4 linked regions of the Rhinolophus ferrumequinum genome follow. The main gene of each other region encodes a partner of the protein of the gene in region 2 in a complex. Links are inferred from orthologs where the notes say so. Each region holds a gene or a part of one and is shown on either strand. Other genes may lie near its edges.

What was found.
Region 1: SNRPD1 (region 2) and SNRPD2 share a complex: the UniProt entries of both Homo sapiens proteins name them as parts of the SMN-Sm complex. The link is inferred for Rhinolophus ferrumequinum from reciprocal best matches to the Homo sapiens genes SNRPD1 and SNRPD2.
Region 3: SNRPD1 (region 2) and PRPF3 share a complex: the UniProt entries of both Homo sapiens proteins name them as parts of the U4/U6-U5 tri-snRNP complex. The link is inferred for Rhinolophus ferrumequinum from reciprocal best matches to the Homo sapiens genes SNRPD1 and PRPF3.
Region 4: SNRPD1 (region 2) and GEMIN2 share a complex: the UniProt entries of both Homo sapiens proteins name them as parts of the SMN-Sm complex. The link is inferred for Rhinolophus ferrumequinum from reciprocal best matches to the Homo sapiens genes SNRPD1 and GEMIN2.

What each region holds. Positions count from the first base shown.
Region 1 is NC_046298.1:41,996,819-42,004,564, forward strand, and holds the start of SNRPD2 (small nuclear ribonucleoprotein Sm D2), read right to left. Parts: upstream 3,005-7,746; 5' UTR 2,869-3,004; coding exon 2,867-2,868; intron 1,257-2,866; coding exon 1,077-1,256; intron 1-1,076. Other genes in the region: QPCTL (glutaminyl-peptide cyclotransferase-like protein), read left to right, coding at 3,699-3,908, 4,400-4,543, 5,258-5,539, 7,243-7,395, 7,497-7,596. UniProt on the Homo sapiens protein: Plays a role in pre-mRNA splicing as a core component of the spliceosomal U1, U2, U4 and U5 small nuclear ribonucleoproteins (snRNPs), the building blocks of the spliceosome.
Region 2 is NC_046302.1:17,462,100-17,469,551, reverse strand, and holds the start of SNRPD1 (small nuclear ribonucleoprotein Sm D1), read right to left. Parts: upstream 3,021-7,452; 5' UTR 2,877-3,020; coding exon 2,863-2,876; intron 1-2,862. UniProt on the Homo sapiens protein: Plays a role in pre-mRNA splicing as a core component of the spliceosomal U1, U2, U4 and U5 small nuclear ribonucleoproteins (snRNPs), the building blocks of the spliceosome.
Region 3 is NC_046305.1:50,663,188-50,670,417, forward strand, and holds the start of PRPF3 (U4/U6 small nuclear ribonucleoprotein Prp3), read left to right. Parts: upstream 1-4,210; 5' UTR 4,211-4,343; intron 4,344-4,387; exon of another isoform or gene 4,388-4,467; intron 4,468-7,083; 5' UTR 7,084-7,128; coding exon 7,129-7,230. Other genes in the region: MRPS21 (28S ribosomal protein S21, mitochondrial), read left to right, coding at 1,914-2,094. UniProt on the Homo sapiens protein: Plays a role in pre-mRNA splicing as component of the U4/U6-U5 tri-snRNP complex that is involved in spliceosome assembly, and as component of the precatalytic spliceosome (spliceosome B complex).
Region 4 is NC_046289.1:86,468,034-86,475,175, reverse strand, and holds the start of GEMIN2 (gem-associated protein 2), read right to left. Parts: upstream 3,020-7,142; 5' UTR 2,928-3,019; coding exon 2,791-2,927; intron 2,392-2,790; coding exon 2,286-2,391; intron 889-2,285; coding exon 799-888; intron 518-798; coding exon 458-517; intron 1-457. UniProt on the Homo sapiens protein: The SMN complex catalyzes the assembly of small nuclear ribonucleoproteins (snRNPs), the building blocks of the spliceosome, and thereby plays an important role in the splicing of cellular pre-mRNAs.

The sequences.
Region 1 (7,746 bases), on a different chromosome or scaffold from region 2:
CGTCTAGGGCAGGAACTAAACACAGTGGGATGATGGGAACTCAGCCCAGACCATAAACTTTGGAGGTGACAGAGCCTGTGTTCAAATCCAGATCTATCTGCCTCCTTGTGCTTCCTGTTGTTCTTCTCCTTTTACTCAAAAGGAAACTGAGGCTCAGAGGGAAAGACTTGTCCATGGTCACATAATAGCTAGTGGCCAGAACATTCCAGAATCAAGCCTCAGCACACTACAGTGAAGAAAGCGCTTCCCAGATGCTAACCACGCAGCTTCTATGTTTACTGAGCATTTGTCATGTATTAGGTACAGAGCCCTTTGCTCTTCATCATACACAGTATCATTCAGTCCTTACAACTGTTCTCTGAGGGGTATTATAAGGAAACGGAAGCCCGGACAGAAAAACTCCTAGTCGCTCCCTCTGGCTGAAACACTTAGACCCTTGCTTACGCCTTTCTCTTATTCAGGTCTGTTCACTGCTGCCTCTTCCCAGGAGGCTGCTCTGATTACCCATCAAAGACAGTACCCCCTGCCCCGTACTCCATACCCTTACCTGGCTTCACTTTTCTTCATATGAGTTCTCATCTTTTGTCTTTTTGACACATTATTTGCTGTCGGCTTCCCTATCTATACCATAAGCTCCCTGAGTACAGAAACCATGTGTATTTTAGTCATTGCGGTCTTTCCAGAGCCTAAAACAGTACCTGGCATGGGTGCACACTCGTATTATGTAATAACTAGGTAACAGCATACTGTGTGCCAGATGCTGTACTTCTAGTGACTGACTACACTTCCCATGTATTAAGCCACTGAATCTTTGCAAACACCACGATTACTGCCACTGGATGGACGAGACAGTCACTTGCCGAAGGTCATGTGGCTGCTAAGAACAGAGTTGGGACACAAACCCAGGAGGACTGGCTCGTAAGTATATGCCCATAACCACTGTACTGCACAGCTGGAGGGGCAGCGGGTTTTAAGACGTTCACTCCCCTGGCTTCTGAGAAACCTGGTCTTTAGGCGCCTCGGACGGGAGCTGGGACCGCTTCTCCAGCCTGAACAGAACAGACCCAGGCACTCACCTGTCAAAGGCCTTCACACGGCCCAGGAGCTTCTTGTTGTTGCGACAGTTGATGAGCACCTGGGTGTTGTTCTTGACCGACTGCGTGAGCACGGAGAGTGGGCCCGTGTTAAACTCCTCCTCCTCCCGCTTCTGCAGCTCCTCCGGGGTCATCTCACTCTTGGGCTTGTTGAGGAGGCTCCTGAGTGGGCAAGTATGGAACCCATAGGTGAGAGGGCCTGGCGCTGGAGCATGGTCACGGTCATGGCACTCAGTGTCTCTCCAACCTTTCCCCAACACACCCACCCTCCTGCTCCGTCCTCGCGGGCATACCCATTTGGATGGTGATTTCCAATCTTGCACGTTCTAGGTTGTGATCCACAACACCCACCCACCTCAACTTACTCTATCCACAGCCTCCCTCATTTCCATCAATGGCAACTCGATCTTTCCAGTTCTTTGAGCAAAAACTTTGATGTTAACTTGACTCTTTTTTGTCTTGCACATCCTACAACCTGACAGCAAATCCTGCCATCTGCCTCTCAAATATATCCAGAATCTGACCATTTCTTACCACGACCTGAATCTCCATCATCTTTCTCCTAGTGTCTTACTGATCTCCCTGCCTGCACCCCACACATGCTCCCCAACAGTGTGTTCTCCACAGATCAGTCCTGGGGTTTTGCCAAGATCTAAGTCACATCATCTTACTCTTCAAAATCATCCTGTGGCTCCCTTCTCAGTGTAAAAAAGTAAAATCCGGGCGGCCGGTTGGCTCAGTTGGTTAGAACACAGTGCTCTAACCAGGGTCACCGGTTCGATTCCCATATGGGCGACTGAGCTGCGCCCTGCACAACTAGACTGAAAATGACTTGACTTGGAGCTAATGGGTCCTGGAAAAACACAGTTTCCCAATAAAAATTTTTTTAAAAAAAGTAAAATCCAAAGTTTTTACCATACCCTACGTCTCTCAATCTCAGTTCCAGTCACAGGGGCCTTCTAGGTGGCCCTTTAAGGTATTAGGCAAACTTTTATCTTGGGCCTCTGCACTGGCTTTTCCCTCTGCCTGGATGCCTCCCCAGTTATCTTTGTGGTTCGAGCTCTCACTTTCTTTACTCCAGTATTGCCTTCTCAATGTGTCCTTCTGTGATAGTTATCAGTTACTGTCTCTCAAAATCGGCACTCCCCATTGTTTTTACCCTGCGCTACTGTTTGTTTATTCATAGCCCCGGTCACCTAACACACCATATACTTTACCTGTTTATTATCATGACCTTAATTATCTACCTCTTCCCACCCCATAAGCTGCAGGTGGGGACTTTTCTTGGAGAGGGATATTCACTGATATATCTCATATATCTAAAGCAGTGCCTGATACATGAGCACTTAATAAATCATGACTTAATGGATAAAGTAAAATCATTCCTGTGACTCGTTATCCGTAAAGTTGCGAATTAGGTCGAAAGGCCAACCGTCTCCAGCTCAAATGATCCGGATAGTCCCTCACCTCTAATCGTTGTTCCTTAAAGTCCGCACTCCCCTCTCGCAAGTTCTTTTTCGTAAAATCGTTCCCCCTTAAAATTACTTGGAAAGCCCCCAGCCCATTATCTGATAAAGCTGTTCCCTCTCCCGAACCGATCTTGGGTCAAAGGCCCCACGCCCGTTCTCAAACTCAACACAAGAAAAGTACGCCACTTTACCCCTAAAAATCTCTGCCTCAGCCCTCCGTCCTCCCCACCCCCTTCCACCGGTCAGTGACCAAATTTGCACCTTCCACCCTACGCCCGCCGCTTAAGCCTCGCCCGGCCTCACATGGTGGTAGCGTCTGCTCTTTCGGATCACTCTGGTTTCCTCCGCGCTTCCTCTGCTTCCGAAGAGAAAACGCGAGAGAGGCGGGACTTCCGCTTCCTGTGGCCCACTTCCGTAGGCGCCTGCGCAAACCCAACTAGCTGTGGGGGCGTGGCCTGTTATTGCCATAGCAACCCCCGCCAGCCTTGCGCAGCGCTAAGGTAAAAGCCTTGCTTAGTGGTTCAAGGCCATTCAGGACTATACAGGACAGATGTTCACAACAATGGAGAGAAAAAGAGAGACGGAGGGCCCGACTCAAATCATTTTGTTGTGGAACAGCACAGGTTGCGAGAAAGGACACGCCATTTCCAAATGCCCGCCGGCCCTCCCTTCGGGGGCGCGGTCTCCGAGAAGCCAATCCCTCTCTTCACTTCAGGGATAGACTCCGCCTATTTCCTGCAGAGACGGTTCATTTACGCGTCTATTGATCTTTCCGACTCCACAAAACCAATCATTTGCCTACATCCGGGAGGGGCGTGGACCTGGGTCCGTTAGGTCGAATGTTTTCCATTGTCAAACGCTTCTCATAGGCTTCCCCTCCAACGCTGAGGCGGAGCCTACTCCTTCTTGCTCCCTTTTGGGTTGTGCAACCCTCAGTGGAACCAACGCCAAAAGCCCCAGGGAGACAGTAAGGCGGGCCCTCAGAACGAAAGTCCCCATTGGCTTCGCTGCTTGAGGAAGGGTGGAATGGTGCAGCCGCTCTTGTTATTCATTGGTCCGGTGATTCTATGGGGTGGGACTTGGCTGGGCCTAAATTCGATCCGCGGTCGGGGACCGGTTTCAGGGCGAAGCTGCCATGCGTCCCGGGGGCCGCGGGCGGTCCCGGCTACGGCTCGGGGAACGCGGCCTCTTGGAGCCATCCTTACCGCCCAGTCGCCGCCTGCTACCGCGGGTGCAGCTGTTGCCCCTGCTGCTGCTGGCTCTGGCCGTGGCCTCCGCGTTCTACACCATCTGGAGCGGCTGGCACCGCCGAACTGAAGAGCTGCCGACGGGCCGGGAGCTGCGGGTAAGGCCTGGCGGGGGCGCGGCCACCGCGGGGGAGCTCATTACCCGTCTCCCCTTTCCTAACGTCTCAGGTTGACGTGGCTTTATCGTGTAGCCCTAGCCGCAGGTGCCGCGGTTTCGGTCATTAAGACGCATGCCCCTTGTCAATAGAATGAGGCTTCAGACTTTGTTCTGTAATAGTGGCTCCCCATTAAGAGGAAGGGTCTGGAGTAGTAAAACTGGGAGTTCTGGGTTCTAATCCTAAGTCAACTATTTGGAAGAGTCCCTTCCTTTCGCTGCGCCTCGATTTCCCCTCGATTTTTTCAGGATTGGGGTGGGCTGGACCAGATGGGCTCGGAGGGACTTTTCCTGCGTGTAGGATTTATCCTAGAAACCTCCGATGCTGGAGGCTGCGATTCCCGGCTTCTTAAGGGCGACGGCGTCCGGGGTAGCGTCGGAATGGGGTTTGTTCTCACGCTCTGCTCTTCTCTTCCCAATTCCCCGCCCCCCAAGGGCCCGTTGATCGGAAGCCTCCCCGAAGCCCGAATGCGGAGGGTGGTGGGGCAACTTGACCCACAGCGTCTCTGGAACACTTATCTGCGCCCGCTGCTGGTTGTGCGGACCCCGGGCAGCCCAGGCAATCTCCAAGTCAGAAAGGTAAAGGGCCACACCTGGTTCCGCAGACCGCTGGGAAATGGGCTTTCCGCACAAGATCCCAAAGCACTAAGTTTTGAGTGGAGCGAATCTGACTCTAGAACCACTAGGCTGTACTGCCCTCACTGAAAGCTTACTATGTGCTAAGCACAAGTAACAGTTTTATGAGGTGGGTACCTATGTGATATTCATTATGCAGATTGGGAAACTGAGGCCCAGAGCAGTTGGGCATTTTGCCCAAGTCCCACAGCTAGTAAATGTTGTACCTAGGGTTTCAACCCAGACAGGTTGGCTCCGGAGCTGGTGCTGAAACATCCCTTATATTACCTCCCAGACAGCATCAAGAGTCATTTTAATAGTGCTTGAGTTCAAAACCCACTTCAGCCACTTGCAGTGTGACCTTGGAGTAGTTTCTTAAGCTCTCTGTCAGTTTCCTCATTGGTAAACTGAGCCATTGACGGTCCCTATCCCATAGGGTTCCTAGAACAGGGCTTGGTACACTGAAGAGTGAGCTGTGATTAGTCTTGGCCTCAAGAAGCAGGGTCGCTCCACACCTGGCACTTGGTAGGTACTCAGCAGAAGTGTCAAAGGAATGATTTAAACCAAAGTGGGACTTGTGAATCAGCCAGACTGCTCTGCATGGCTCAGGTCACGTGGCCCTTCTCCCGACCTCCTCCCCAGTTCCCACCCACCCTCCCACCTCTCTCTTGCCACTAGTTCCTGGAGGCCACTTTGCGGGCCCTGACGGCAGGCTGGCATGTGGAACTGGACCCCTTCACGGCCTCAACGCCCCTGGGGCCACTGGACTTTGCCAACGTGGTGGCCACACTGGACCCAGGAGCTGCCCGTCATCTCACCCTTGCCTGCCATTATGACTCAAAGCTCTTTCCATCTGGGTCAGCCCCCTTTGTGGGGGCCACGGATTCAGCTGTGCCTTGCGCCCTGCTACTGGAGCTGGCCCAGGCCCTCGACCAGGAGCTGAGCAAGGCCAAAGATCAGGTGAGAGCAGGGATAGGGGGGGATGGAGGGCAGGGGCTGCCATGACCTTGGTTGAAGCCACCACTCTCCCTTGCCTGGTCGTGTCTTCTTGCCTCCATTCTATACACAAAGCCACAGGATCTTTCCACCTCCTGAATGTCAGATCATGTCCCTCTTCTGCCGTAAACCCTCCCATGGCTCCTACCTCATGCATGGACCCATGATGTGTGTCCTGTTACCTCTCTAGTCCACTCTAGCCACCCACCACCTCCGTATACCTCAAACCCACAAGATACACTCCCACCTCAGGGCATTTGCACTTGCTGTTTGCCTAGAATGTGCTTTCCTCAGATATCTTCCTAGCTGGCTCCCATCCTTCATTCAGGTGTCCACTCCAGCGTCACCTCAAAGAGGCCTTCCCAACCACCCTAAAATAGCTCCCTGTCACTATCCCATGATTTATGGTGTTTTATGTTGATGTATCTGTGTCTCCCCAGCTAGAATAAGTTCCATCTAGGCCGAGACTTGGCTGCTTTTGTTTCCTTCTCTATTCCCTGAGTCCAGAATATTGCCTGCCTTAAAGTATAATGTCAATAAAAATGTATGGAGTGAATGAATGAAAACACAAGTCTCCTCACGCGCCTTCCCTGCTCAGGCCCTTTCTTCCATGGTTTAAACCCCAGTGTCCCAAAGCCCAAGCTCCCTGACCCTTGCTGACTCCTCAGGCCTCTTCTCAAACCTCTCTGGCCCCAGCTCTGGTCCACACTCCATCCTTGCCTGGGAACACTCTTCCCTCTGCTCCCTTTTGCCAGGCCAGCTGCCACTCATCCTCAGTGCAAACATCCCTTTCTAAGAGACCAGACGTTCTCCCCAGGCCAGGTTATCCCCCACCCCCTTCCTGTGTTCTTTCAGGACCCTATAGTTATTGCAAGCATTTGTCCCAACTGCATTTCACTATTTGTATAATTATTCGTTTGTGGATCTCTTTTTCTAAACAAGCTTGAAGAATAACCAATAATCAGAGCTTCACCCTTATTTAGTATATGCCAGGCAGTTTTGGGACTTGGATTCAAATCCTACCCTATGAATAGAACTGTTACTAACCCCACTTCTTCCCCCCCCTTCTTCCGCTTTTTTCCCCCTTCTTCTGCCTCCCCTTGCCCATTCCGGTTCAAGCGTTCTCAGTCTAGTAGTTGTGTAGGACACAGCTCCGTGGCCCATGCTGGTATTATGAGCTTTGTGCTCCCCTTGCTGAGGCAGTCAATCGCCAGCCAGTTGTCGGTCGGCCGCTCACAGCAGCTCATGGCAGCTATTGCTGGCTGCCGGCCACTCACGCTGGCCACCGGCTGCTCACAGCAGCCCAGCTCAAGGGAGAGTTGTTCACAATCTTAGCTGTAGAGGGCGCAGCTCACTGGCCCATGTGGGAATCAACCAGCAACGTAGCTCCAACCACCTGAGCCACCGGCTGGCCCACTAACCCCATTTCTACATGAGGAAACTGATACTTCAAGAAGTTAGTGACTTACCTGTGACTGCTCGGCCAGGAAGTGGCTGAGCCAGGATTTAAACCCAGGCAGCTGGCTCAGAGTCTGTACTCTAGGCCACCACGCTCTGTGAATGAGGAGACTTAGTTTGTCCCATTCAGCTGTGCAGGCGGGCAGGAAATGGAGGTGGGTCGTGTCGAGGGCTGGCACTGAGCTGGCCCTGACCACCGGCTTCCACAGGCGGCCCCGGTGACCCTGCAGCTGCTCTTCTTGGATGGTGAAGAGGCGCTGAAGGAGTGGGGACCCAAGGACTCTCTCTATGGCTCCCGGCACCTGGCCCAGCTCATGGAGTCTGCACCCCACAGTCCCGGTCCCACCAGGATCCAGGCTATTGTAAGACAAGGGTCCCTCTGGGTTCTGGCAAGGGAGGGAGGGGGTAAGGCAAGGTTGGCAGCATCCCACCTGGCCTCTCCAGTCCTGGCCTCTCTCTCTAGGAGCTCTTTATACTTCTTGATCTCCTGGGAGCCCCCCATCCGACCTTCTACAGTCACTTCCCGCGCACAGCCCGCTGGTTCCATCGGCTAAGGAGCATTGGTAAGGGTGATGGTAGAGGCAGGCTCCAGCTTGGGATGCCGGCAGGACATGATGGGGCAGCCACCTGTCCGCTAAGGGGTTATCCAGCCTTCCCTCTCCCTTCATAGCCTCTCTCTAAGGCACTAAAACAAAGGCCAAAACACAGAAAGC
Region 2 (7,452 bases):
GTGGATTTCTAGTAGGAAGCCTGAAAAGTTGGAAATATGCAGCAAAGAGTGAAGAGCAAAGATACGGTAGTTAAGAAACAGCACAATGTACAGAAAAATTATAGGTACAACCGATGGAATATTAAGTCTAAGAAAATGAAGAGTTAGGCAGATTCCTTTCATGGAAAGCCTAAGCTCTGTTAAAAATTTCCTCTAGGAGAGTTACTGAAGGGTTTTCAGCAATAAAGATTGCCAGGATCACATTTACATTGGAAGACAAATCAGATGGCTACAGCACTATAGAGGTTAAAGTTACAGTAATCAAGACATAGGAACAACAAACGGATCAATGAAACCGAATAGAACCTAGAAATAGAAATAGACTCACATTTATACAGTCAATTTTCTACAAAGGTGCTCATGGGACTGCCAAAGCAGTCTGATGGGGCAAAGGAAAGCCTTTCCAACAAATGAAATCCATAATAGGGATTTATGTTCCACGATAATACGGAATGACTGGAAATCCATCTAGAAAAAAATGAACCTGGACCCCCTAACTCACACCACTTACCAAAATTAATTGAAGACAGATCATAAATCTAAAAATCAAAGTAAAATTATAAAGCTTTTAGAGGAAAACATTGGAGAATAACTTCATCGTTTGAGGGTAGGCACAAGTTTCTTTGACAGTGCACAGAGAGCAATAACTATAAAAGAAAAAGCTGGTAAATTAAGACTTCTTCAAAATAAACGTATGCTCACCAAAGACATTAAGGAAATGAAAAAGCACACCACAAACGAGGAGAAATTCTATCTGACAAAAGACTAGTATGCATAATACATAAAGAATTCCTACAACTAAAATAAAAAGAAAAATACAACCATAATTAAACTCTTCACAAAGATATACAAATGGCCAATAAGCAGGTGAAAAGGTATTCAACATCACTAGTCATTAGGAGAATGCAAATTAAAGTCAAAAGAAGACTACTATACAAGCACTGCAATGGCTAAACTTAAACTGACAACAAATGCTGATGAGGGTGTGGAGCAAGTGTAACTCTAATATATCTAATATACCATTCATTTGAGGGAGTGTAAAATGCTACAACCACTTTGGAAAATGATTTGGCAGTTTCTTATGAAACTAAATGTATACCTGTGCTATGATCCAGCAACTCCACTCCTAAATAATTACCCAAAAGAAAATGGGGGGGGGGGGTGGGGGAAGGTAATGTTCCATATCTTGATAGGGTTTGGATCACACAGGTATATAAATTTTTCAAAATTGGGAACTGTACACTAAATATCATTGTAAGAGATATTTAACTCAAGAGGTTAATAAAAAACATGGGTGAAAAAAGGGAGCTTAAACAGCTCAGTGGTGGCAACTGGAATGGCAGGGAGGGTATCATGAGCAGGAGAAACAGACACAATAATGTGAGCCTAGAAACCAAGTAGATTGGAATCATTTTCTGATGAATCCTGCACTATCTGAATTCTTTTTACTTACTGAAACTTAGATATTCAGATATTATTCAAATATTCAAACATGGTATCATTCAGCATCCAAATTCACACTATTTAAATTTAAAAATCAAAGAGAATTGGATAGTGAGAGATACTTCCATTAAGTAGATAAAAATGTTCAAACCTGGCAATTTATCAGACATCAGGATTATCAAGAGAGGAAGAAGTCAAGACAACTCCCAGGTTTTTGATTAGGATGACAGTTCCACCAACTTAGGTACAGAAATAAAAAAGTCAACTGAAAATGCCATCCGGTTAGACAAACAGCCATTTTCTTGGTTCAAAATGCCTTCTCCAGTAAGAAGAAATTTTGTTTATTCTAAGACACAGAAAAGGATTCAATACAGCCATTGAAATTAACAGGAAAATTGTCACAGCACAGAATATCTTTAAATGAGAGAAACTGATCCCAAAGAGTAGCACACTAACTAAATTCAGACTGCCAGATATTGAGAAATTGTGAAAATATACTTTAAATTTTGAGACGTTATTATCCAGTTACAGTTCAAATTAAAACGAACAAAAAGTTCACTTTAAATGCTTTCTCTACAAACTCCACCCTGAAGGATTTATGTTATTTCAAACATACTAGAAATTAAATGCAGAAAGATATAAAACGGAAGACATATCGATCATCCGTGCAATCAGCTACAAATACAGAAAGTGATTCTGCCCCAAGTTGGGAGATTTCCCCCCCCCCCCAAATGCAAGGCCTACTTTAAAGGGAAATGTAGGTCGAATAATCCTAAATTTAGAGAACATCCAAAAATACTCTAAAAAAGTAACATTAAGTCAGAAGTCCATCCCTGATTTAAAACACTTCGGAAATGGGTTTATTTTCCAGATAAACCTTTGCAGCTTCTAAGTACTCTTTTTAAAAGCGCATTAAACTACTTACACAGGGAAATAAATTTTCTTTATGTCTCCCACGTTCTCAGGGACCGTGGACCTAGTTACATTTGCCGGTTCCTGAGAACTGAAGATGGGACCGAAAAGTAACCTAAACTAGAGCACGAGTTCTACTGGAAATGAAAATCGGTTGGTAACCGAAAGCAAGACCTTGTACGCCTGCCCCTGCATCTTTAAGGCACTTGAGACATTGGATGGGAAGAAACGGCTCGGCCTTTACATCCACCTCTTGGAAGACACACAGGTTCCCGGAACGACCCTTTCTGAAGAGCAGGCCCGCGCGCCGGCGCCGCCAACCTAGGGCGGGAGCGGCGAGCGCCGGAGGCCGTTAGCAGGCCGCGCGCGCACGTGGCTTTCGCGCTTCCTGCAACTGGGGCAGCCGTCTCCTGCTCCCGGCCCAAACCGTCCCGTCAGAGCCCTCATTCCACTTGGTCACCGCCTCACCTCACGAGCTTCATCCTAGCGGCGCCGTCACGCTCTCGGTCCGAAGAGTGCACAAACCCCAACAACCAAGGCCCCACGGACTGGAGTATGAATGGCCGGAAACGCCTACTCCTGGATCTCCGACGTAAAGGGCGCGCAGAGCTCTGCGAACGCGCGGCGGAAACGCTGAGGCCGCGCAGGGTCGCACTCCCTTCCGCCCGCGAGGAGCGCCATTGCGGCCCCTAGCGGCTGGAGGTGTGCCTTGCGACTGCTGAGGGCGTTTAGGTCTGGTTTAGGAGGAAATTTCCTATTAGAGGGAGATTTGAGGATATTAAATTCAATTAGTGGACACTTTGGCACGGCATCTAGTGTTATGCAGCACCAAATATACCCGTGTGCGAAGGAAAGGTCTGAGAGAAGCCCAAAAGATTATGCTAATTCTGCTCCAAAACCAAGAACCTCAGCACTACTTAATGTACATGGAGAAAATCACACAATTTAGCTAATTATTTTCACTTTAAATTCTGGTAGCAAACCTCAAAAGGGTACCCTATATTGCCCAGAGATAGTGTTCTGCTTCTCATAAGCTCACAAATTATTTCATACTTTCTTTATTCCTCTCAAAACTTTTATAGTCCCTCTGCCAAATCACTCTCTGCTAATGTTTCCTACTTCTTGGAGAAACAGAAGCCATTCTTCTGCTTTATTCCTGTCGCAAAAGTAGAAGTATTGCTTCTTTCAAAGGCAAATTCCTTTTCACTGTAGTATGGATCCCCTCGCTCATTTTTTTAAAAATTTCATACCTTCAGTTATTCCCTTCTAACTTGAATCATCAGTTTCTCCGTCTCTACTGGACTTTTTTTTTCATCAGCATACAAATTTACTTTAAAAACAAAACTCTCTGGGGCGGCCGTTTTTCCCAATGGTTAGAGTGCAGTGCTCATAACACCAAGGTCGCCCATTCAGTTCCCTCATGAGCCAGTGAGCTGTGCCCTCCACAACTAGATTGAAAACAATGATTTGACTTGGAGCTGAGCTGCGCCCCCCACAACTAGATCGAAAACGACTTGACATGGAGCTAATGGGTCCTGGAAAAACACACTGTTCCCCAATATTCCCCACCACAAAAAAATTTGAAAAACAAAACAAAGCAAAAGGTCACCTCTGATGCAGCTCCAGCTACTGCCAGATTTCTTTTACAGAAAAACTTGAATGAGCTGTCTATGCTTGTTTTTATGACCTCCAATTCACTCTTCAAACTACACTGAAATTGCTATTCTAACAGTCATCAGAAACCTCCAAGATAAACTTCTATCCTCATCTTAAACATCTCAGCAGCACTCAACGCAAACATTCCCCTTTTGAAACACTCTCTTTCCTCTCTTGCTTCCAGGATGGCAAATACATCTGGTTTTATTCCTATCCTACTAGCTACTCCTCTTTCTAGCTGTCTCATCCTCTACTGAGCCATTACATACTATGGTACTCAGGGGCTTTCTCCTTTTGGATACTTTCTTCTTTAGCTTAGATGATCTCCAAAACCATGGCTTTAATTTGTATCATCAGTCTGGACTTCATCCCTGATCATCGGAAATCTTGGACTTCATTAAGGCAATGCTCATCAAACTTTAATGTGCATAGGACTCACCTGGAGCAAACTTCAGAATGAAAATTCTGATTTAGTTGGTGTGGGCTCTGAACTCCTGCATTTCTAATGTTAAAGAAAAAAAAGCCACACGCCCAAAAAGGCGTCACTCGTGCTAATAGCCTCTGATACCAAACCTAGATTTCGTACCTGAAATTGCAGTTTCCATCTCTCCCAGAACCAAAATCTTAATTAACCAGTTTGGAATTTTCTGATCAAGCACCAGGAAGGGCATCTGACACCTAGGCCCTCTCTATGCACCAGTTGGAAAGAAGAGGAGATCTACATGATGGAAACCCTTCCCCTTCTCTTTCTTGAAAAGATGTCCTGGCTTCTTTCCTTTCAGTAATAGCCCTCTTGCCCTTTTCTGCTTCCTACTAAAAGCTTCCAATTTGTACAACCCCTCAGAATACCCTTCTAGTTGCTAGATGGTATGCTGCTCAATTCATAAATCACTTAATAAAGCCAATTAAATCTTCAGATTTACTCTGTCGAATTTTGTTAACACTAACAAGCCTTCAGTTGGTGAAGATGCCCTGAGTCCATGAACCACAATTTGAGTAGCAAGACTGTAATGAATATGTGCTGCCTTTTCAACATCTATCCCCTTCTTTTTCCAACAGTTTCTAGTAATCTGGTGATTTGTATGTTCCTAAGGAAGCTGACTCTACCTTTAGATCAATAATCACATTCCATTACTTGTCCACAGTGGACTTGGGATGTAAGCTGATCTAATCAGGACTTCGTGGTATTATGCTCCTTTTGGACATGAATGGAGAGGTAGTTATTGGAAACTTCCTTAGAAACAAGAGAAGAACCAGCAGTTCTAAGAGAGAGTTTTAAAAAAACAAAACTCATCATAATATTAATGAGCCCCTGGATTAAAAACAATTATTAAGTGAGGCTGTTTAAATTAAAATTAAGCAAAATTAAAAATTCATTTCCTCAATGATAATAACCACATTTCAAGTGCTCAATACTCATATGTGGCTATAGCTACCTTTTTGGACACTGCAGATATAGAACAATTCCATAACCAAAGGAAGCTCGATTAGACAGTGCTGCTCTATTTATTACCACATTGATTTCCTTATTTGTATTTAATTGTTATTTGTTTACTTATTTATTGACTGACATGAGAATGGAAACTCTCTGAAGGCAGGGATTTGCATCTGTTCTGTTCACTTTCTGCATACCCAGCATCTAGAATAGTGTCTTGCACACAATGTGCCCTCAAGAAATATTTGTAAAATAAGTGAATGTCTCCCCCATCAGAATGCATGTTGTGTGAAGAAGGGGACCTTGTGTATTGTTCACTGCAGTATCCCTAGTATTGAGCACAAAGTACTCCTCCCTAGTGTCCTCAAGTCTCTTCCTACTTTGAGCTCTGCCTACTTTAATCCCTTTTCTCCTCAATAGTATTAGAATATTTGAGCTCCTGGAACTCTTCAAGCTCACTCTCCTCTCCAGACTATTGTACTTTAAGTTCTTCAATCTGGCTAACACTTACTTATCCCCTCTCAAGTATGTGGGGACAGCATTATTATTTGTATGTGTTAGTGGTGGGTTTACCAAAGGATGGCAAATTGAAATGTCATTATCAGTTGATTTATACCAAATTGTTGAATTTTTCCTTGTTTTTATTTTCTACCTTAAAAGTCTTTAGAATTTTTACTGTCTCATTTTATAAAACTGTCAAGAGTCCTAAAATAAAGTCAACGAGAGTGGAGCAACAAAGAAAAAGCCTTTATTTGCTGCTAGCAGAAGAGTCAGTCTACAAGTTAGACTACCCTGTCTTCTGGGAGTTAGCAGAAGTTTTATATGTTACAGGCATTTAGATTGGTCACAAGGAAGAAAAACAAGGAAATGAGAGTGTACCGTGTGTGACAATGCAACTATTCCATTGTTAGTTAATAGAAGTAGATGTCCTAATGATAAGCAAGTACAGAAAAGAACATTCTGCAGTTTGGAGTCAGGAAGGGAAACAAATAACTTAAGCAAGCCCAGGAGATTACAGTCACAATTTGGAGTTTAGCAACAGAATTTGTGTAGGGATTGTGGAAATGAGCTTCACAACTTACAGAACCATGTTAAGCACCAAGATGAATCATCTAGGACACAGTATTTGTTTTTAGCTTGTGCACATGGCAAAAGGTGTATCAACCAGAGCTCTCCCCTAGGACTTTCTCAGGAGTTTTTAGGAATGGAGACCTCTCTTTTTACTGGGGTCAGGTCGCTGTGAGCTTGTATAATCTTTGAGCGCTCAGTCAAGCAAAATAATTTATTCAGCGGAGCATGATTATTTTTAGTAGACAACCAAGTCAAATGAACAAAATTGTAAAGTTTATTGACAGACAACTCTAAAAAAAACCCCATTGATAGAAGGCAAAACAAATTTTGTCAAACATGCTATTACAGAATAATTAAGATTTAATCAAACTACAGATTGAGCTCTCTGGCATTAATGAATCAGAATTGAAAATATCTTTTAAAATGATAAAGAATAACACTGGGGAAAGCTACTTTTCCCCACAAAAACAAAATATTTTTTTAAATTTGTTTTTATTGAGCTGTAACCGACATATAAAATTGCATAACTTTAAGGTGTACAACATGTTGATTTGATACATTTATGTATTGCAATACGATTACCATGGTAAACAATACCTGTATCACTTCATACAATTATTATTTTTTTTGTGGTGGGAAGAGCAAGTCTCTTAGCAACTTTGAAGTTTATAATACAGTATTGTAAACGCAAACTATTTTATGCTTTCGCAGCACATTTAAGAAACTGAGTATGTTTAGTTTTAGAAAAGAAAATCTAGACTTGCAGACATGACTTGTACATCAAATATGATTTACTTATGTATCAAAAATTAGTGTAATTACACATGATTTCATATAGTCTGACATTTGTAAGGATTCCTATGCTCCTGATTGTGGCCAATACAACAAGTAATGTG
Region 3 (7,230 bases), on a different chromosome or scaffold from region 2:
CATTGTGCATCAGGGTTGAGGCTCACTGGTAAGGGTTAAGGAAATCATGTCGAACCAGAAACGGAGGTTTACAGTCAGAATCTGGAGGAATACCAACATGGAAGGGTAAATCGAGGAAGAAAGTCAGCAAAGGAGACCCTGTGTGGGCCAAGAGACTCAGTCTTTTCATCTTTGGTGCCCTACTTCTCTATTGTAAGACTCTAGTGTTGAATCCACATGACTTCTGGGCATGACTGTTTTCAACAGAACCTGAATGAGCGACCTCTCCTGCTTCCGGGAGTCGGCAGCCAGTCCCTTGCCTCCCATCTCCCTGCCACAAAAACCTAGACAAACTGATCTATACACATATGATTTCTCTAGTAGCCTACAAATCATTCTCGATATTAAACAGCAGGAGGCTGGGAGAGGATCCCATAGGTACAGTGGTTCCCATGTCTATTCACATTTGTAATTTACCCAAAGCTGAAATCTTTTCAAGTTAATGTTCAATCTGTTGTTATCTTGGGCTTTGTGATGTAACATACATAGCAGCAATAAATAAGATTTCCCGCTGGGCAGAAGTAGCTGGTGATGTCTCTTATTATTTCCTTCTTCCTGTGTCCCCCTTCTTCCAATTACAATAGCCGTGGCTCAATCTCCTTGTCTCCAATTGTGTTTGTGACTTACTTTTTACATGTAATGAAAGGACAGGGTAAGCAGGAATGGGGCCATGTAAACAATGCCAGGAATGGAGGACAGTAGCGGCAGGTGCCTCCAAACCTCCTCAGGATCAAGTGATGGTGGGTGGAGAGGGAGAGACAAATTGCAGGTTGGAGCCAGAGCTCTCAGGAGCCTATGAGTTATTAGGTAGATTGGAGAATAAGCCCCTTGTCTTCTTGGCTCACTCAAAACAAAAAGGGGAGTTTGAGTTCGGTGTGTTATAAATCCAACAAGAGAAGCTGCATTGCAAGAAATTGGGTGGGCAGGAAAAAAACACATTGAACTCAGTTTTATGGACATTTAAAGGTTAATAAAACATGGTCTCTGCCTTCGAGGATTTTCCGTCTAATGAGGGAGATGTTTGTAAAACTAGCTAATGGAATGGCAGAATGAAATAATTGCTAAATAGGTGTTTAATAAAATATTTTCTCTAAAGAAGATGAGAAAGCTTTGTGGAGAGGTGGCATTGGGGTTTGGCATCAAAAAGATGAGGAAAATTTCAGTCAGAAGGTTGGCAGCCAGTGGTTGAAGGTGGCATTCCAGGCTGAGGAAGCAGCGTGAGCAGACGTGTTAGAGTGTGTTCAGGGAGTAGTCAGCCAAGTAGTGTGGTGGAGCAGGTGGCACATGGAAAAATTGTGGGTGAGGCTGTTATCTTAACGTCCCCATTTGTGTCACCGGTGTGATAAGGGCCTCTTCTTTCCTGTACTAAGTAGGCCCAGAGATTTCTCAGATCTGCCGACTTCAGCTGTATCAGTTTTTAAACACAATAGGGATGGAACTATATTCTCTACTAAGGACCATATCAGAATCACTCCTAGTGACTTTTTTTTTTTTTTTTTTGCTACTGTTAAGAGTCACCCCATGTGAAAATTCTGAAATGACCCGTTGCTTGAGAATCACTGCCATAGGGAACCACTGTTCTTATGAGACTGTCATATCCCTCAGGTGTGCTGTGGTAGAACAAAGGTTGAGAACATGATCCTGAGTGTAAACTCCCCAAGAGCAAGGACTATGTAGATGATTGCTTTTTTATTCCCCACAGATTCCTATATGGGGCCTCCATAAGGAGACAGTTAATACTATATTGCCACCATTTCACACCATAATTTTTACAGACCCCAAGTGTTTGGTCAGTTGACTTCTGGCCATCTGTGAAATTGGAAAAGAATAATAATGAGCCCCACCTTCTAACTTCATTGCCGTTCTTTGTACAGAATCCTCAGCATGGATGGGCTCATTGAGGACATCAAGCGACGACGGTACTACGAGAAGCCTTGCCGCCGGCGACAGAGGGAAAGCTATGAAACCTGCCGGCGCATCTACAACATGGAAATGACTCGCAAGATCAACTTTCTGATGCGAAAGAATCGGGCGGATCCATGGCAGGGCTGCTGAGGCCTGTGGGTAGTGGGCCCAGTATGAAAACCCCTGTCCAATGGTGTCTCCACCTCTTTTCTTTCTCCAACCCCATTTTATCTTTCTTGCAATAAGCTCAATCACGGATATATAAGAAGGCCTGCATATATAGAAGCAGTCCCACTAGTCAGTTATTAAGTGAAAGAGAAACTGTGCCAAAAAATAGTCTTGGAGTAGAATGGTGATTGCCACGAGCTGAGTGGGGGTGGAGGGGAATGAGGAATTACTATTTAATGGGTACAGCATGAGTTTGGCAAGATGGAAAAGTTCTGGAGATGGGTGGTGGTGATAGTTGCATAACAATGTGAATGTACTTAATGCCACTGAATTGTACACTTTAAATGATTAAAATGGTAAGTTTTATGTATATTTTACTATGATTGTTTTTAAATAGTCTAGGAAAGCTGAGGACATTTTCTAAAATGTTGTAGAATATATCTACCATTTCTTACCCAATTTCTATGAAACACAAAGCAAGATCTTATCATTGGGAAAGCATGTTACTCTTTACTTGCACTGCCCTCAACTGTTAAATAAAAGGAGAGGAAGCATGTGTATATCTGGAATAAATTCTTCAGAAACTCCCATCAACCAGACTAGAGTGCTGGAATCCTTGTCCAAAGGAATCCTTAAGACAAATCTAACATTCACTCCTGTTTTCTGTTTTTCCTAAAGGAGGCTAATGGAGGGATGGTGGAGAAGAAATAAAGCGGTAGATGGATGGTAGAAAAGAGGAAATAGAGTGTTAAGAGACCGGAGGACACAGAGCCTGAAATACCTAGAGCAGCAGTTCTGAGATTGTGCTCTTAGGTCAAAGTGTGCTCTTCAGATCTGCAGTATGAAGATCACCTGAGAAATTGTTTGAAATGCAAATTCTGGGCCCCTATTTTAGACTATGTGAATTGGAAATTGGGGTTGGAGCCCAGTAATCTATTTTCACAAACCCTGCAAGTGATTCTGATGCTTGCTGAAGTCTGAGGATCACTGCCCTATAATAGTACTTAAAAGAGATTCCAGGCTGAGGTCCCCAGCGCCAACCCTACCTCTCAACAGGCACTCCTGGGTCTGTGATTCTTGACAGCTGGGGGCATCTGACTGTGGGAGGAACCAGCTGCTCTGCTTCCTTTCCTGCTGTGTGCTTCCTCTGGCCTTGGTCCCCTGAAAGCCATGCTGCTGATATAAGGAGTGTTGATGCCAACCCCCAGAGGAGAACGGAAGAGGGTAGGCGGAAGCAGCTAGCCCACCTCTCCTCACCCAGGCTGCAGCCCTCAGCATAATGTTTAAAAAGGAAGTAAACTGAGCAGACAGCCTGGCCCCCTACCTCTCCAAATTGCTAGTGTTCAAACATTGCCCCCTTGTGGTGTATATATTGTTACCTATCAGGTAGCTTTATTGAACTCAGAAGCAGCTGTTTTAAACGCATTTACCTTCGGTCACTTGTGGTCCTCACAGCAGCCCTCTGAGGTGGATTTTTTTTATAGGTGAGGTAACAGGGCTTAAGCAATTTGCCTAATGTATAAATAATGGGTGGGAGAACTGGAATACAGATCTAAGCAATCCGGCTTTCAAGCCCCTGCTCTTAACCATGAAGCAGTATTGATTCTCAGAAGAGGATGCCTGGTGCATACTAGTAGGCAGTCAATAAATATTCAATTAACGAATGAGACAAGAGGAGGGTGGGGGAGAGTTGCTATCTTCAGAGTCCTCCCATACACGTCTATTTTCTGCGTCGGTCTCTGGCACCACTGTTAATTTACTGAAGGAGAAAGGTTAGGGAGACGTGGCTAATGTGATCTCGACTCTTACTGAGGATTGACTTTATAACACACGAAAGGCCACGTTTAGCCTGAACTCATAAGCCCCGCTTTTAGTTCTAGCGTAACTTCAGCGCACTGACTCGCCACACTAGGAATATTGCAAGCAGCCCGATTTCTGTTTCAGGCAACATTAACCTTGCAGTAATCCAGTTAGGAGATTTAGCTGGGGAAAAGGAAGCCGTGGGGAGCTTGCACGGGGCAACTTTAGGGCTCCGCCACGCATGCGCCCCGCCGCCAGGAAAGTGGCTACTACGGCTGCGCGCGTCGGTGGCCCGGCCCTCCCCGTCACGTGTGGAGGACCGTGGCGTGGCGGCGGCAGTGGCGGTAACGACGGCAGGCCGTAGGGCGGTCGGAGGGTTTCCGGTTCCGGTGTAACGTTCGGGCTCCGTCTCAGGGGCTGAAGTTTGTGAGGTGAGTAGTGGCCCCGGGCCCAAAGAGGGTGGCCTCGGGTCGGAGCGCCTGGGGCCGGGGCTCAGTCCAAGAGGGGGACCGAGGCTGGAAGGTTCAGCGGGAAGGCAGCTGAGAGGAGAACAAGGTTCTGCGGGAGAAGGGGTTGGAATGAGATTGTTGAGAGGAAAAGGGCGGGGGCGGGAAGGGGACGGGGTGCGGAGACTAGCTCTGAGACGAGGAGTTTGGGGAGAACAAGGTGGGCTCAGGGCCGGCCGGGGAGAGCAGAGAGAGAAGAATGGAGGTTTGGGGGTGGGGTGGGGGTGGGTCAGTCGGGGTGTTGCAAAGAAGAGCACGGAAATCCTTCAGAAGATTGGAGTCTGCACCCTCCCCATTCAGAGATCCTTCTGCCTGCCTCCCCACGCCATAACACACACCCGCCCCACGCAGTTACTGTCCAACATTTGATTAGTGACAAAGCTAGTTACTGTTGGAAACTTTCATTTTGGCCCACGGGCTGTTTAGTTTGCACATTCTCTTAGGAAGGATTGGGTTGCACTTGAATACATTTGTTAGTTTAGTGTTGGGCACACATTTAATCTAATAGACCGGTTCCTCGTGTATCGCTTTGGATTTTCAAATTGCTTACACTTTCTAGCCTGTGATTCAATTCTAGTGGAACATAAGCCCCGTTAAGACGAAGATTCTTGTCTGTTTTGTTCACTGGTGTACGTATTCTCAGCACCCACTATGCTGCTTGACACTTAGTAGTTACTCAATAAATATTCGTTGAATGAATTAAGTACCAAGATGAGTAAACTGAGGCTCAGAGGAATTACTTGCCCAAACGCTGGTAAATGGTAAAGCTCCGTGTTGCAACTCTTCAGTGTGAGCTCTTTATTGACTGTGGTATCTGAATATGCTGCTTTTAAGCAATGCACATTTAATATATAGGAGATTGAGAGGTTATACTGCTGTCTCATGATGGGTGAATAGAACCACCTAGAAGTATTCACATAATGTGTCACTGAGGCAGGAAATCTATCACTCCTAATTTCATGACTTCAATCTACTAGTTTCATACGGTTATACCCAAATTTAATAACACCGTTTAGCAACAGGTCTTATAAGGGACGTCCCTGCCAAGAATGTAGAAGTTAATCAGACCGTGTCTTTTAGGAGAAAAGATGCCTTAAAAACGGCCTGAGAGCTTGACTCCTACATCAGACCCTGATATGTGGCCCTGCTGGGAGGAGGTTATCTGGGAAATTGAATTCAGTGCGGTTTATTGACTTTTAGGCACTATGGTGAAAATAGGGGAAATACAATTTTCTCTATGCTCATGGGTTTTGAAATTTAGGTAGGAGATCAAAATGTAAATGTGACTATTGTTTAAGAATTGTACTAACTTGTGTTAAATGACAAATTAAGGATTTGTTATAGAATCTTGTATGATAGTGTAAAAAGTAGAAAAATAAAGGTGAAAAGGCAGAACATCCAAAATGGGGGTATTCTTTTCTGAGCTGGGGGATTACCTTACCCAAGTCAACTGACAAAGACCCTGTAGAACATGAGAGAAAATTGTCTGGGTACAGAATCCCCACTAGCTTGCATATGACTACAGAGAAATAGAACATTCTTAAGGATACGAGCTTTGATACAGGATGACTGACCTGAATAAGCCTTCCTCTATCTGCATCCCTTAAAAGTAAGGAAACCTGTAGGTTACGGCTGAGTTAAGGAATGCCTGCCTAGAATTAAGAATAGAAAAGCTGCCTCTGGCTGGGCTTTTTCAGTCTTGTTTCCATATTATACTCATATGTTTGCCAGTCCTGTTGATACAACAGGATCAAAAAAGGAGCCAGAACTCATTGCTCAGACTAGGCCATTCCCGGGTTTTATCTGTTTATTCCACAAGTTTCATTGACTCACTGATAGTGAGTCAGGCTTAGAAATCTAATGGGGGAGGCCGGCCCAGTGGCTCAGGTGGTTGGAGCGCTGTGCTCTTAACGCCGGGTTTGCCGGTTCGATTCCCACATGGGCCAGCAAGCTTCACCCTCTACAGCTAAGATTGTGAACAACAGCTTTCCCTGGAGCTGGGCTGGAGCTGGGCTGCTGTGAGCTGCTGGAGGTTGGCATGAGCTGCCGTGGGCTTCTGTGTGCTGCCACGGGCTACTGTGTGCCGCCATTAGCAGCCGGCAGCCAATACAAGCTGCCATGTGCTACTGTGGGCTGCTGTATGCTGTCGCGGGCTACCATGTGCTGCCATGAGTGGCCAGCGCTAGTGACCGGCAGCCAGCGCGAGCTGCCGTGGGCTACCATGTGCTGTCATGAGCGGCCGGTGGTCAGCGTGAGTGGCTGGAAGACATCATGAGAGGCCAGCAGCTGGCAAGAGCTGCTGTGAGCTGCTGTGAGCGGCCAACTGACAACTGGCGACTGACTGCCTCAGCCGGGGGGAGCGCAAGGCTCATAACAGCAGCATGGGCCAGGGAGCTGTGTCCTACACAACTAGACTGAGAAACAACGGCTTGAATCGGAGTGTGGCGGGGACAAGGGAGAAGAAGAGGGGGGAATCAAATGGAATGTATTTCTGCTTTGAAGTATAGGTTTTAGGGAAAGTATTTGACTTGAAATGAAGAGGAGCAGCTCGACTAAAGATTGAGAATAGAGGTGGGGAAGACATTTGTAATGTAATAAGCATTGACTGGAATCACTTTAGTCTTTTCCTGTCCTCTAACTTAATTCTTTCCTGGTTTCTTTTTAGGTGCAGTACTAAATCCCATTTGACTTACCTTCCTTTTCCTGAAGAATGGCACTATCTAAGAGGGAGCTGGATGAGCTGAAACCATGGATAGAGAAGACAGTGAAAAGGGTGCTGGGTTTCTCAGAGCCCACAGTGGTCACAGCAGCC
Region 4 (7,142 bases), on a different chromosome or scaffold from region 2:
GAGAGCTTAATATTATATCTAAGCTGATAAAATGTAGGAAATACTACTTTCCGGTATGCATGACAGGCTTCAGTAAAAAGTCACTGGTATTGGCACCATTCTTTCACCAGGAAAATCCAATGAGCCTTTATTCAATCTTTTTGTAAATACTGAAAATGTGTTTATTTCCTAAAAAACAACTGTCTAGAAGAAACTTAAAAACTTGTAGGGGCCTAACAATTACCCATCCAAAGTCTCTGAAGATGTTGTGGATTAAAAGTGTCATAAAAATAAAAGCTTGCATTGCTGATTCTATACTTTTCAGGCTACTAATATAATGAAATTGTTACTATTAATGGTAGATGGGAGGGAATGAAAATTATATGGACTAGGTAAGTAATTTTTAAAGACTGGAAGTAAATATGGACAATTTCAAATAGGTATACACTGTATAACTTCAACAGAGAAACTTACATACCATGGTCACGTTACTATCCAACTGCTGTGATTTCCAGTGATTTCTATGTCTGTTCACACTCTAAAGGAAGAAGAGGTAGACAGTGATCTTCAGAGAATGGATAACTGAAAAGAAATAAAGTGCTGCACAACATTCTAACAATTCTACAACTGGGAAGATATGTTTCAAACTATTACATCTAGTCATTATAATAATAATTTGGTAATTGATTCTTAAATATTCTTTTCTTTATTCTTCAGAATCATGAACCTCATTTTCCCAACTAAAATCTAAGAACAGAAATAAATCTGAGGGAGGGAGGGGTAGTGTTTAATTTGATTAAAAGATTAAGGTACACTTACCTGTCGAACAACTGAAAACTGTGCCACTTGCTGCTGTTGCCACTGAAGTGTGGGGGAATATCCTTCAGGAGCAGGTTGGCATCCTGAAAGCTAGAGATCAGTTCATAATTTTTACCATCAATGTTAGTGTTATAACTAGAGTCTCATGCCCCTGCCAAGTAAAATCAATATGAACAGTGAACAAGAAAGTAAATGATTAAGACTGTACAAGAAAAATAAAGTACTTCTTGCTCATGCAAAAGAGCAGGAATTTCATTTTACTATTTCTGTGTGAGTTTAAAATGTTAGGAAAAGATCCTTATAGAGTCACTTTAATAACAGCAATCTGGAATGGTTTACAGTTGCAGTTTCTAAGAAATCTAAATGATATGAGTCTTGAAGACACAATCTAGCCCTACCTTTCTATAACAGCAAAAACAGTTTGCTATAAAAAAAAAGAGCTATATCCCAGATAAAAAATTTTGGTATAGTCAGAATGTACTCAAATAATTTAAGATATCTGACTTTAAAATGTCTACTTCTTTTTCCAAAAACAGCATACAGTTCACAACTGATCACACACTGCCTTGAAATAAAACTTTGTGAGGTCACTTTTTAAAGCCAGGTATATAAGACATCATCTCCCACCAACTAAAAACTTCTAAAAAGGAATTATATGAAATATTAAAATTTCCTAATTATAAACATCTGATAAGGGAATTACTTAGAACATAAAACGAAAAGGAATAATCACAATTTAAAACTGCTGCTTTCCTTTGACTTTAAATTAAATACTGCCTCCTGGGAGAGACCTTCTGTGACAATCTAAAGTAGTTCTACCTGAAAAAAAAGAAAAGTAATTCTTCTTGTTATTTATTGATCATTATATGTTAATTTTCTTCATATCAATAGTCACAATATGTAATTATTTCACTTGTTTGCTGGTTTACCCTGTCTTCCTCAGGAGAATGTAAACTCCACAAGGGTAGGGACCTTTTCTGTTTCATCATCCCTGGTTATATTTCTAGTGCCTGGCACAACCTACTTGCTTAGTAAAAAATGTGCTGGATAAATGAATGAAAATGTTTACAGTGTGCAAGTAGCTAAAAAAAGTGTAAGATATTTGGGTTTCTAAGTCTTAAAAAACAAAACATAATGAAAATTAGACCATGCAAACTGCACTAAGATTAAACAGTCCAACAATAATTATGAAGACAACTGGAAAAAGGTTACTTCAAAATAAAGGACAGCATAAGTAACCTATTTAAAGACTTCTTTAGGATTGGATCATGTCCTGAAAGTATGAAGAGCAAATCTCCATGAATGCCAGGGTTACTTAAAGCCTCTTTGGCGGCAGTAAATGTCAACTGTCCTTGAAGGGGAAAAAGTAATACAAACAAATGTCTAACTTCGTAGGGGCAGTCAAATTTGACCTACATCGTAATTGATACTGTTGGATACTATAGGAACAGCTTTGTTTTTTTCATTTGTAGTGGTAAAAAAGTCACCTGACGGGTAATAAAACTCACGGAAATATTCACACTTTGCTTCCTTTTCAACTTCTTTGGGTCAATTTGCGCAACCACGACATCTGGACATTGAGCTGCTTCGATCCTATAAATAATAAATGCAAGAAATGTAATTACTATTGAGTTTTGCTCATCTGCAGTTAAACAAGCTATCCATTTCTAAAGTTTATTATGATATCAGACAAAAAGTTCAGAATTGCAATTGAGGTACTAATTAATGTATTTCTGAAATTATATTGAAAGCAAGGAAATCTAAGAGCACACATCTTGCCATGTATAATCAAGTTTAATATAATTAAGTTCACTGAAACTCGTCCACCTAAAAATGCTAACAAGTGATCTTGCTCCGATCCGAACTTGCAGGAGGTTGGGGACCGGAACAGAGGCGGGGCTTTAGCAAACCTAGGGGTCCCGCAAAGCACCGGGCGCTGTGCTCTGGAGCAGGAAGGACGAACAGCCCACCCGCACAAGCCAAATCACTCACTGGACCCGCTTCAAGTATTCCTGAGGCGTCCTCGGGGGTACGGAGGGATCGAAACTTTCTGTCAAGTCGCAGGGATCCACTGGCAACAGCCGGGGCATCAACTCTTCCACTGCAGACTCCGCTGGTACCCACGCCATAGTTTCCAATCCAGCCAGTCCCACGTTTAGGTCACAGCGCAGGCGCACAAGTAGGCATCTTTGGCGCAGAGTGGAGCAAGCGGCGAGGCTTAGGGAGTGTTAATGCGCATGAGCAAACCTGCTCATTGTCTCAAGGTTAAGGCTCCGGTGGTGTAAGGAAGACTGCGAATTTAGTTCCTTGCGGGAGTGGTTCTGAGATGTTTCTGCGTGTTCCCTCTTTTGTCCTGTTCTCTCTTCCAAGGCTAGGTAGGGTAAAGACTGGGGCTTACTAGCCTTTAGGTATCCCTAGTAGCGAGGGATTCTTAAATTTTTTTTTTAATTAATGAGCAACATTACTGTAATTATCTTTTATTGATCTCTCAATTCTTAAACCCTGGCAGACAGGTCACATTTCCTCACTTAAGTTTTACAACCTCTTGAAGTAGGTATCATACCGGTTTCGTAAGGGAGAAAAATCGACCGAAAGAGTGGTTAAGTACTACAACCGTGACTTTTTCCCAAAGGGGAAGAGCCAGTTCCAACCCAGATTTTTCTGACGCCGAGTAAACGAAAAACCGATTTTCCAGAGGAATTTCTTGTGCTTGGCTATTTCAAAGATCACTTTATATTTGTCTGAAATGAATATCACTCCTAGAGTAGCCATCGCTTTTTTTACCCCCTCAGAAAGATCTCTTTGCTGAAATATAAGTAGTGCAAAGGATAAAGCTAATGCCAATACCCAGAAATCACCATTATTAATCTTAGGGCCAATCTTGTGAGGCGAATACTATTGTCTCCATTTTACACTATTGTCTCCATTTTACACGTTCTGCTTTGTTTAAAGCAGAACTAGTTTAACTTTAACTGGGTCATAAATTGCAAGAAATAATGAAAATATTCTATCTCAATCTTTCTAAACAAGCTCTGAGTGAATACAATTGACTTATTTCTAACGTTTATATTTATGACTAAGGCGTTGCTTTTTTTTTCTTTTTAAAGCACTGCCTTTAGCAATTGATTTAGAAACCAGAATGTAACTTACTTAATTGAAGATAAATAGTGAGGCTAGTCCTTATGTTAAAAACGAAAGACTTAGTGTGTATGAATGGTTACTAAGCAATTGGGAGACATGGAAAGACATTGCCTCACAGCAGTCAAAGTAGAAGTTATTTGGTTAAAAATGTTACTGATTTTGGAAGAAACAGACTTAGAGGGAAGGATTATGGAGAAATACTCCCATCCCCAAACTTTTTGGTAATAATCAAGAACAAAATAAGAAAAAATGAGCAGCGACTTTATTTCTGGGTTTTCTTATAAATATTTTTTTTTGGGGAAGCTAACTTATTAGCAATTCACTTCCCCTCACCCATTTTTCTGGAAATAAAGAACAGGTAATTACCAAGTAGACCAACGACCAGTGGAACAATGCTTAACACTGGGCTGCATATATACGACTGGTAAGTACGTGACAGAACTACACATGGATGAAGGAAGAAAAGAGAGGAATAGCAGAATGAACAAAGGTTGTTCTGGGAAATAATAATACACTATTTTACAAAAGACGTAAGTAATAAATGAATGATTCTGAAATGATTCTAAAATTTTAAATACACAGGCATGAATTCATTCAGGAGAGAGGAAAGTAAATTAAAAATTTATAAGCTTTGCTTTTTGTTACTTCAAAACTAATCTGACTTAAAAGAATGAATAACGAGTTTTGGAACAAATTTTAATATGGTTATAAGTTGGAAATTGAATTAAATATTTTTGATAGTTTCAGTAAGATATGGGACAGCGGAGGAGTAGCTATATTTGGTTGATGAAGTTATTCTGAAAAAAATGCTTAATTTTTGGAAAGCTGAACTTTTAAAATAATAACTATTTCATCTAAGCTCTCCCTAAGAAGAACCATTCCTAAGATTCTGAACTATTTCTGGTGCCGTTTTCAAAGATTTCCAGTTACTTCTCAGTTTACAACGGAAAGATTTTTTTGTATTTCAGTATTTCTTACATTGGTGGTTGGTTGTAGGAGTTATATGAGGGTTATGAGAACAATCAACACTGTTTATTGATGATGGTGGCATCTGTTAAGTCATCCTTACACAGGTAAGTGCAAATTTGTCGCTGTGTTTTATATCCCCTTAAGCAACCCAGTTATTCTCAAATTTTAGTGTATATAAGAATTATCTGGAAGAAATTATTTACAATACAGACTCCTGGGTTCTATAACTCTCTCCTCCAGAGAGGTCTGATTCTGTTGATTGGATGTGGGGCTCTGAAATTGACATTTTAAGAAGCATTCCAAGTGAGAGACACAGCTTAGGCCATCCATTTTATTCTTTCCCTTCCTATTCAATATCTACCGCACTAGAATTTCTTCTAAGCGTACTTTCTCAGTTCTTTTTACTTTGGCCACAGTCTAAAATTTCACTTGCCTTTTTATACCATGAAAATTTAATTCAGTCATCCAATTAATATTTATCAGTTTTCTCTTATGTGCCAGGCACTATGGTAGGCATTGGGAATTACAATGATCTTCTTCTCTCCTAGTGCTTACAGTCTAGTGGACAGAGAGATGTTAAACAATGATACAAATGAATTTTAAATGTTAACTGTGATAAGAACTATTAAGGAAAATCTTGAGGGGATGGGGTATGGAGGAGTCTTGTGGTAGGGAAATAAATGAAGACTAAGGAATAAGAACAAGCAAAGGCTATTTATTCAGAGCTTGCTATAGAAAGGGAGTCAGCCACTGCTACTTGAATTTTGGCAAAGACTCAAAGTCAGGAAGAGGAGTAGGAAAGCTTTATACTGGAAAAAGGGGAAGACTGTGTATGCGCTGGTTGGAGGCTCTTGGCTTGGGGAAGTTGGAGGTGGGCTACTATAGGGGAGGTAAAAATACTTTTCCTCTATCCTCTTAGGGCTTCTGGCGGGGCATAAGAATTAAACTGATATAAGACAGATTAACATTAGAAAAGCACACAAATTCTATTCAGTAATTTTAACATGTACATGGGAGCCTTCACAAGAAAAATCCAGGCCCAAAGAAGTTAGGGCCCAAAGCTTACATACTAGGTTGGACAAAGAATAGTAAATTGTGAACATGTAACATGACAAAGGGGGTTGTGCTAGGGAAGTTATTATAATTCTGGAAAAGTAACTAAGAAGATAAGGGTTAGTTGAATAAGATTTGTTTGTATAGCTTTATCTTGGCCTTGAATCTCCATTTCTAATGGTAAGAATGTTTTCCTTCCTTCTGGTATAGGGAGGTGTACCTTTCACATGGGAGTATTATCTCCTGCTTTCAGGAAGAAAAAGGAAGGTCCAAGCACCCATCTTGCATCTGCTGTTTTCCAAGTACCTTTAACTTAAAATAATATGTCAAAGTGGCATATTTTGGGGTGGCATGCTCTGAACCCCTATTCTACTTAGAAGTGGGACACCCTATGAAATTGGTTAAGGGTGTGTATTTGGTTTTCTTTGGTTGGTCCTAAATTGGAAACAGGGAAAAAAATTAGGAAATCTGTCAATTATTAATCAAATCCTGACTATTTTGGGACAATTATTACAGGGGTTATTGTTTGGCTTCTTGGATTGTTGCTGGAGATACCACTCTGACTTCCTGTAAGTTTGACTTATTGCAGGCTGGTTTCCCAGGCTAGTTACTGTAGAACACTGGTTTGATTTCCTGGGATGGTTGCTGCAGACTGTGGGTCGGAGTTCTAGTTTTCCACTTATGGTCTGACCATTGCCCATTTGTATATTCAGTCTCAGCAGGTAGAGGAGAGTTTGTTCAAGGCCTTAATTGCTGGAGGAAGTAGGTTCTGTTGGAAAAATTGGAAAAAGGTCAGTATGGTTGATGCATAGAAAGTAGGGGATGGATGGTGCTGGACAGGGTTCTGAGAAATGGAGCTGTATGTATATAGTTAATACTTATGGAGCATCCTCTTTCCACCAGAACACTCCTTAGTCACATGATTACTGAAACTGGAAGATGTCTCAGTAAGAGGGTGTTAGAACTAACATATTTATTATAGGATTTGGGCTTTGTTTGGTGATTTGGGGACAGTGGAGCTTTGCTGTCAGGAAATGGGGATAATTCTGAGCAGTAAGCTCCTGGTTAAAAACTTATGTGTGATTTTTCAGGCCTGACTTTATGCAATTACAAAGGCTTTACCTGGCAGGCTTCACAGGGGAAAACTGCCCTCCCCACACCAGACTTGGTGCATCCAGCCA